Linked DNA regions of Astyanax mexicanus. The protein of the gene in region 1 purifies or fractionates together with the protein of each later gene. This does not show direct contact. Links are inferred from orthologs where the notes say so. Each region holds a gene or a part of one and is shown on either strand. Other genes may lie near its edges.

The links.
Region 2: the proteins of ncoa6 (region 1) and paxip1 purify together in Homo sapiens (co-immunoprecipitation; 6 studies listed by BioGRID and IntAct, with this or other methods). This does not show direct contact. The link is inferred for Astyanax mexicanus from reciprocal best matches to the Homo sapiens genes NCOA6 and PAXIP1.

Annotation. Positions count from the first base shown.
Region 1 is NC_064420.1:49,310,403-49,314,159, forward strand, and holds the start of ncoa6 (nuclear receptor coactivator 6), read right to left. Parts: upstream 2,275-3,757; 5' UTR 2,153-2,274; intron 1-2,152. UniProt on the Homo sapiens protein: Nuclear receptor coactivator that directly binds nuclear receptors and stimulates the transcriptional activities in a hormone-dependent fashion. Coactivates expression in an agonist- and AF2-dependent manner.
Region 2 is NC_064411.1:34,833,653-34,837,409, forward strand, and holds the start of paxip1 (PAX-interacting protein 1), read left to right. Parts: upstream 1-1,075; 5' UTR 1,076-1,202; coding exon 1,203-1,283; intron 1,284-3,757.

The DNA of each region.
Region 1 (3,757 bases):
ATAAACAACAAACAAATTAAATGCTTTACAACTGCAAATAAAAACAAGGTATCTACACCAATAAGGCACACTACATCCAAAGAAGTCAGATCCTAAATTAGTGTTTGTTTTTTTAATACACCATAGCAACACCTTAGCAACACCATTGCAACCAACAGGATATAACAGCAACACCTTAGCAACCACTTAGCAACACCATAGCAACCACCCACGAATCAGCACTGCAAACACAATCACAGTTTCTGCAGGAACTGCAATCTAGTTGCTTTTATTATTAGTTATGTTCTTCTTAGGTCAAAGTACATAATTTGCATGGGTTAACATAAGAAAAACTCTAAAAATTCATTGTCTAAGAAAACTAAGAAAACTTAGACTATTTTTCTCTGTTTCTGTCTTATTATTGTCATTTTAATTACACCTTTTACAAGACCTAATCTTTAAATTAGGGATGCACCAATAAGGAGATTATTTCATGATGCCAATATACTTATTAGTAACTTACAATAGAGACTATACACCATAGTATAACTTGTGTCTAGGCCTGTCAGGATATTTACATTATCGACTTACTAATACAAATACAAACAGTGAACAGTATTTTACTCAGTCATGACTGTAAAAGGTGAAGAATAAACTATATATTTTCCAAAATATATGATTAATGAAAAATATGCTGTGTTTAAAAGGTAATGAATGATTTGTTATACTATTATATTATCATCATGTCAGTGACATTTAGCTAAAAATCTTAAAATGGCAATATTATCATTTATCGGCATAGTTACTGGGACGATATATTGTCCACAAATTCCTCTGATTATTTACTAGCTAGGTAACACAAGCTAGCCCTAAAACTAACACAAATATAACCAACTAGCTAACTAAGCAAATTATGAACGTGCAGCTTAGCAATTTCACATATTTTTCTTTTTATGTTTTTAAACAAAGTCAACATTTTAGCTATTCATGTCATTGTAAATCTCACAAAAAAAGAATCACATAATTGTTGATATTAGGGTCATCAAAAATGTCTGTTCAAGACTGGATAAATCAATAATATACAAACTTATGCCTATACATTTGTACAAATCTATACCTCATCTATCTTGTACCAGTATCTTATTTAAATAAAGTAATGTAATAAAGTAAAATCTGTGTTTTTAAACAAAGTGGACATACACGATCATTGACATTAATCAAGGGTCTCTTCGATAAATCAATTAATTGTGGTTGTGTTCATATACTGTAGGAGAAGAAGTCTATAATGGAATTATTTTGACAGACCTAGACCTGACCCCAATCATATTTAATAATGGTGATCTGGTTTATAATAGTGATTAATGTGTATGTTTGTTCACATGTATAATGATGAACAGTATTTTAGCCAGTCATGCAGACAGAATGAAGAAGGTAAATAATAAACTATAACTAGCTTATATTTCCCAAAATTTATGATTAACAACGAATATGTTGTCTTTAAAGGGCTATAAGTGCTGTTTTATGCTATTATATTATCATTATGTCAGTGATATTTAGCTAAAGGTTCTAAAATAATCAAATATACAATAATATTGTTTATCGTAATAGTTTCTGGAACGATATATCGTCTAGAAAATATTGTTATTGTGACAGGCCTACGATTATTTAATAACTAAGCTAGATAACACAAGCAGCACTGAAACTAATACAAATATAACTACAGTTATACAGTAAACTAAGCGGATTATAAACATGTAGCTCAGCTAACATAGCTATTGTACACATTTCCAGCTCTGGTGTTTTAGTTATTAAATAGAAAATAGTCTCTAATTCGTCTCTAAACGCTTTGAATTCGCTGCAGAATTAAATTCAATGTATATTTTAACGGAGAAAAACGAATTAAACCCGCTCGCGCTGAGCTAACTAACGCTAGCTAACCTAGCTAAACACAATTAGCATCGATGGCTAACTAGCTCAGCTACCTATGCTAAGCTAACCGCTAGAATCTCGTTCACTGAAGCGGCGGCGGCTAACGGAGTTAGCTTAGCTGTGCTAACTAGCCAGGCTAACCATCAGAAATGCCTGTAAACTTCTGGCTAAAACCGTATTTAACCGTGTTTGCATGCCAGAACCCGGCGGTATCGATTATCAGAAGTGCAGTAGAATGATTTACCTTGATCAGTCCATTGGTAAATCGATCCGAATTAATGGTTATTGTGAATTTAGGGAGCTAGCGCGCAAACCGAGCGCGTAGCAGAGCGATCGAGCTTCTCCTTAAACCGAGCGAGCGACTGAGCGAGGCGTATTCACAAAGAAAAGTGCTAAGCTGCGCAGCGTCTACAGCTTAAACTGCTACGTAACTTGCGTAGAGAAGATGATTAGATAGATAGATAGATAGATAGATAGATAGATAGATAGATAGATAGATAGATAGATAGATAGATAGATAGATAGATAGATAGATAGATAGATAGATAGATAGATGTTTTTAATAGGTTGGCATGAGTAGGGGTGGGCGATATGGCTTTAAAATAATATCACGATATTTAATGGTATTTTTGCGAAAACGATACGCTACACTTCTGAAAAATGAAAATTAAATTTTACTATTGCACACTCCAAATTGAGACATTAAACAATACAAGAATCAATGATCCAGAATGTTATGGTACCAATAATGCCCTATACTGGACAGATATAATCTTGTCTCTAATAAATATACAATGGGAAATGAGAACAGTGTGAATTTTTCTTTTTGCAAAAAACAGTAAAAAAAAAGTAGAACCCTGATGTGATAATTAGGGGTGGGTGATATGGCACGATATTTCAGGGTATAATATCGTTCACGATATTTAATAATGTTGGCGATATTATTGGATCTGATACGATATGGCAAAATCCTAGTCATGAGATAATTAGGAAAGGAGTGGCCAATTGTGCTTTCTCAGGGCTCCAGCCACTGATGGCAAGTTTCATTACTGGGAACCGGAACCAGCGATCTCCTGATTATAGTGGCAGCGCTTTAGCCTGCTGGACCACTCGGTGCCCACATAAAATAATAATATTTTAGCAAATGAATGAAGTGAAAAGTGAAAGCCAATCGTGCACAGCATACTCTTAACTGGAAACCACCGTCAACCTGGAGGTTTCCGGACGAAACCCACACAGAAACGAGAAGAACATGGAAACTTCACACAGACAGGGACTAAAACCCAATACCCCAGCCCCAGAGTAGAACATCCCAACCACAAAGCTCAATAGCATTATAATACATTTACATTGTTTTAAAGAGCAATGAAACTTTAATGCTCAATAATATAAAGACATTTGTACTGTTTTTTTTATATATTTTAATCCAATTGACACAACACGTACTATGGATTAAGGTTCCCATTTTCTGCTCCCTAAATATTCAGTTTTACTGGCGTTTTATTCCGAACTGTGTGCTGCCAAACATGGAAGAGGAACTTAAAAATACTTAAATAGGATGCTCACAGATTTTTATTTATTATTTTTTTTTGTTCTTGTTATTGAAACGTTCACTGTGTGCGCTTTGAATGAAGGAGATGTAAAAACAACACAACCGACATTTGTGATACTCTTTGGAAAATATTAAATAATTTTTTTTAGAAATGTTTATGTATCATTTATATTACGGTATTGATTGAGTTATTCTTTAAAAACTAATTTGTGAATAAACAAATTATTACAGTGTCTGCCTAATATATAAATTTGGCAATTTCAGTTATGGGTGTAAGAAGGAAAATGCATGATAAAA
Region 2 (3,757 bases), on another chromosome or scaffold:
GCACAATCTGTGTTTGAAAGTTAAAGGGAATTAACCAATTAAACAAACATATTTGAATATAAATTAAATCATATTGTGATTATCTGATTATCTAATTGAATATTTTATTTTACATTTAAATATCCATTATTAAAAGTTTATTCAAAGAATTACAGCAAATTGTTTGATTCATCTGTTATTTTGACAGTCCTAGATAATATTAATCATCTAGTAATAATATATATTATTAATAATATATATACACACACACACACACGCGCGCGCAAAAACACCGACACACTACTTTTATGAAGTTTTTTATTTTCATTTTTTTATATATTTTGTTAAAATGTACTACTTTGCATACAACAAACAACATCCTCCCATCCACCCTTCACCCACTCAATTTTTTCATGTTATTTGTCATTGTGTTGCTGCTGTCTGAGTTGCATGAGTTTGATCCACCCAGGAATGGGTGGATCAAAGACCAAGTTCCCAGCAGTGTTATTTTTTTTGTTAGGACATTCCCTGTTAAGTATTACCTGATTTTACAATATTTTTTCTGCTTTTTTATAGGGTCATGATCCATGGTACCTTTTTTGTTTTATGTGATGTTGTATGTTGCTTAATTAAAGAAGGGTTACAAAACTTGTCATACAGTGTATACCCAACGTTAGTGATGGTGTTACTAATTTTAACGTTAGTGTTCTAGTGTTAATAAAGTGATCTATCTGTCTATCCATCTGTCTATCTATCTGTCCCTGGTCTTGTCCTCCTCCTCCTCCTCCTTCTCCTCAGGAGTCTGTTTATCTGACACTTCACATTTGGCGCCTTAACTACTAAAAATGCATGCGAATAGGACGCAGCTCCTCCCACAAACTACAGATCTTCCATTTTTACAGGGGTGAGAGAAATATTTACCTGTAATGTTTAGCCACCAAATTCCGAATTATTTGTTCTTTATATTTTTATGCACATCGTTTCGAATATAGAAGGAACATGTTATACTCAAACACGTCGAATTTAACTTAATTTTATAAAGAAACTTAGACACAGCAGGGTGTCCCCCCCTCCGCAAGAATGGCCGATCCGCCGGCCGGGCTTTGGCGCTCTGTCCGGGCTCCGTGTCTCCCGGGCTGCCGCTGCTGCTGACCTGAGTCCCCGAATAATGCTCAGTATTATCCGCTCGGGTTCATTTATACGCGCCTGATTGTGTTTAAATCATGACAGAGGAGGAGCTGAAGGTTCCGGACGAGCTCTTCAAGGACGTGAAGTTCTACGTGGTCGGGGACATTGAGAAGAAGGTGGAAGTTTTCTGTCATTTTCGAGGCTAGCTCGGCTCGCTAGCTTAGTGAGCTAACGTAGCGTTAGCATAACAGAGCCTAACTGACCGTGTTTTAATGTAAGCAGAAGGCTAAGCTAACTGCTTAGCTAGCTTAGCTCGCGAGCAGCACTTTTCACACTGCAGCGCCGGTGTGGTTCCGCTTTATTAATTAATAAAATATTTAACAGGACAAAATACAACCCATAATATCAGTACAGAAACCTGGTAACCCTGGAAAAGGTGATGTTTTATATCTTTAGTTGAGCCGCTAAAGGTGACTAGCCTAGCCTGCAGCCTCCTTCATTCAGACTGGGGCAGTGGTAGTTAACTAGTTAGCTAGCTAAGTAAAGCTAAGCTAGCTGTTAGCTTGGCTAAGGCTAATGCAGAACATTGTCTTTACAACTAACTTAGCTAGGTTAGCTAACGCTGGCTTATCATAACTTTGTACATAGCTAACTAGCTAACTTAAAGCTCTGGAAAAAATAACGAGATCACCTCAGTTTCTGAGTCAGTTTATCTAATTATGCTATTTTATAGGCATATGTTTGAGTAAAATGAACATTGTTGTTTTATTTTATAAACTACGAGCAACATTTCTCCCAAATTCCAAATAAAAGTATTGTCATCTAGAGCATTTATTTGCATAAAATGAGAAATGGCTGAAATAACAAAAAAGACGCAGAGCTTTCAGACGTAAAACAATGCAAAGAATACAAGTTCACATTCATAAAGTTTTAAGAAATCAGAGTCAATACTTCTAATGTATCTTGCCATGTTCTCCTTCAGCAGTCTTGCACACTGCTCTTTGATAACTGTGTGCCACTCCTGCAACAATTCAAGCAGTTCAGCTTGGTTTGATGGCTTGTGATCATCCATCTTTCTCTTGATTATATTCTCTTGATAGGTTTTCAATTTGGTAAAAACAAAGAAACTCATCATTTTTAACTGGTCTGTTTACGAGGTTCTGTATATTGAAAGTTGTCATAGATGGCCAGCTGTGGTATTTTGGTATGATAACAGCTACCTAACCGAGGTAAGCTACTAGCTATTTGACTGATATAGCTTAGTTAGCTAACATCAAACCTAGTAAAGCTATCCTAGCTAGCTGCCTCCACTCACCATATAATTACTGTAATACATACTGTTAAGTCAAGTCAAGTAGTTTTATTGTCAATACTGCGTAAGTACTGGACATACAGAGAAATAAACAAACGTTACTCTCCTTATTACTTAAGTTACTACAAGTACAGTAAAATAAAATTATGAATATAAAAGAATTAGAGAGACTTAATTTACTATACAACAAGGTTACAGATATAGACATACATGAGACAACAGAAACAAGACAAATGTGATAGGGGGATTAAAGAGGTACTGAGAGAACCAGTATAAAAAGGACCCGTATAAAGTCCAATTATAGTGGTATAAAAGCTTAAGGCTGGTAAAGTGAACGAGTGCACACAGTTCTTTAAATGTCACAGTTGTAGGGGAAATTAAAGTGGGTATAGATAGCGCAAGGATAGGCAGTAGTGCAGGTATGGAATGTGTGAGTGAATATCAGTTCTTGAAAAGTTTCAGTACTGTTGATTCCAGTACTAAGTTTCAGTACTGTGTTGTTAGGGGTGGGCATCCTCACAGCCTGGTGGATGTAGCTCTAGCCTGTAGACAGGTATCGGTCTCTTCGTAAACTTTGTTAGTGAGCTAGCTAGCCAGCCGACTGTCACCCTCTTCTTCTATAAACATGCTCGGCTGCATAGTGCACTATTGCTGGATACATGTAGGCTACAGTACAGGTTTGACGCAGAAGTATAATTTGGGCTTTAGTAGTGTGTTGTGCTGATGGTATGATTAGATCAGACACAGCTGTGCTGCTGGAGTTTTTAAACACCTTGTTCCCTCATTGTTCGCTCTATTAGACACTCCTGCCTAGTAGTTAAGTTAAGCCATAGAAAGAGTTTTGCTTCTGTTGCTGCACAGTTTTTGTGGTGGTCAATTTCATTTACTTTATCAGTACTCACTGAAGGAATAGCTGCCTAAAAGATGCTGTTAGAGGACTGTTCTCAATTCAACAGCTTTTTGGATAACGTGTAATTCTCAACACTGCATTGAGACTGACATGATGGTGGAGAGTTAGGATGCTTGTTTTGTTTGGTCCTGTCTTTCGGTCTTTGCATTTTGGCTCTGAACCAAAGTAGCAGATGTAAAAGGGGTCTCGGTCCAGATCTACTAAACCACGGTCCAGACCTACTAAACCACGGTCCAGACTTTTCAACCTATTACAGGAAGTTGAGTTAATCATTAAATAAAGCAGAGAAAAAAAAATTGGTGTTGGTGAATTGTGCTGAAATCAGACTCCCCTTTCAGGGGTGAAGAGACCCTTACTGTTTGTCATGCTGGTATGTGTGGGTCATAGACAGTGATGCAAAGTAAGTGGAGCTAATCTAATAAACAGTG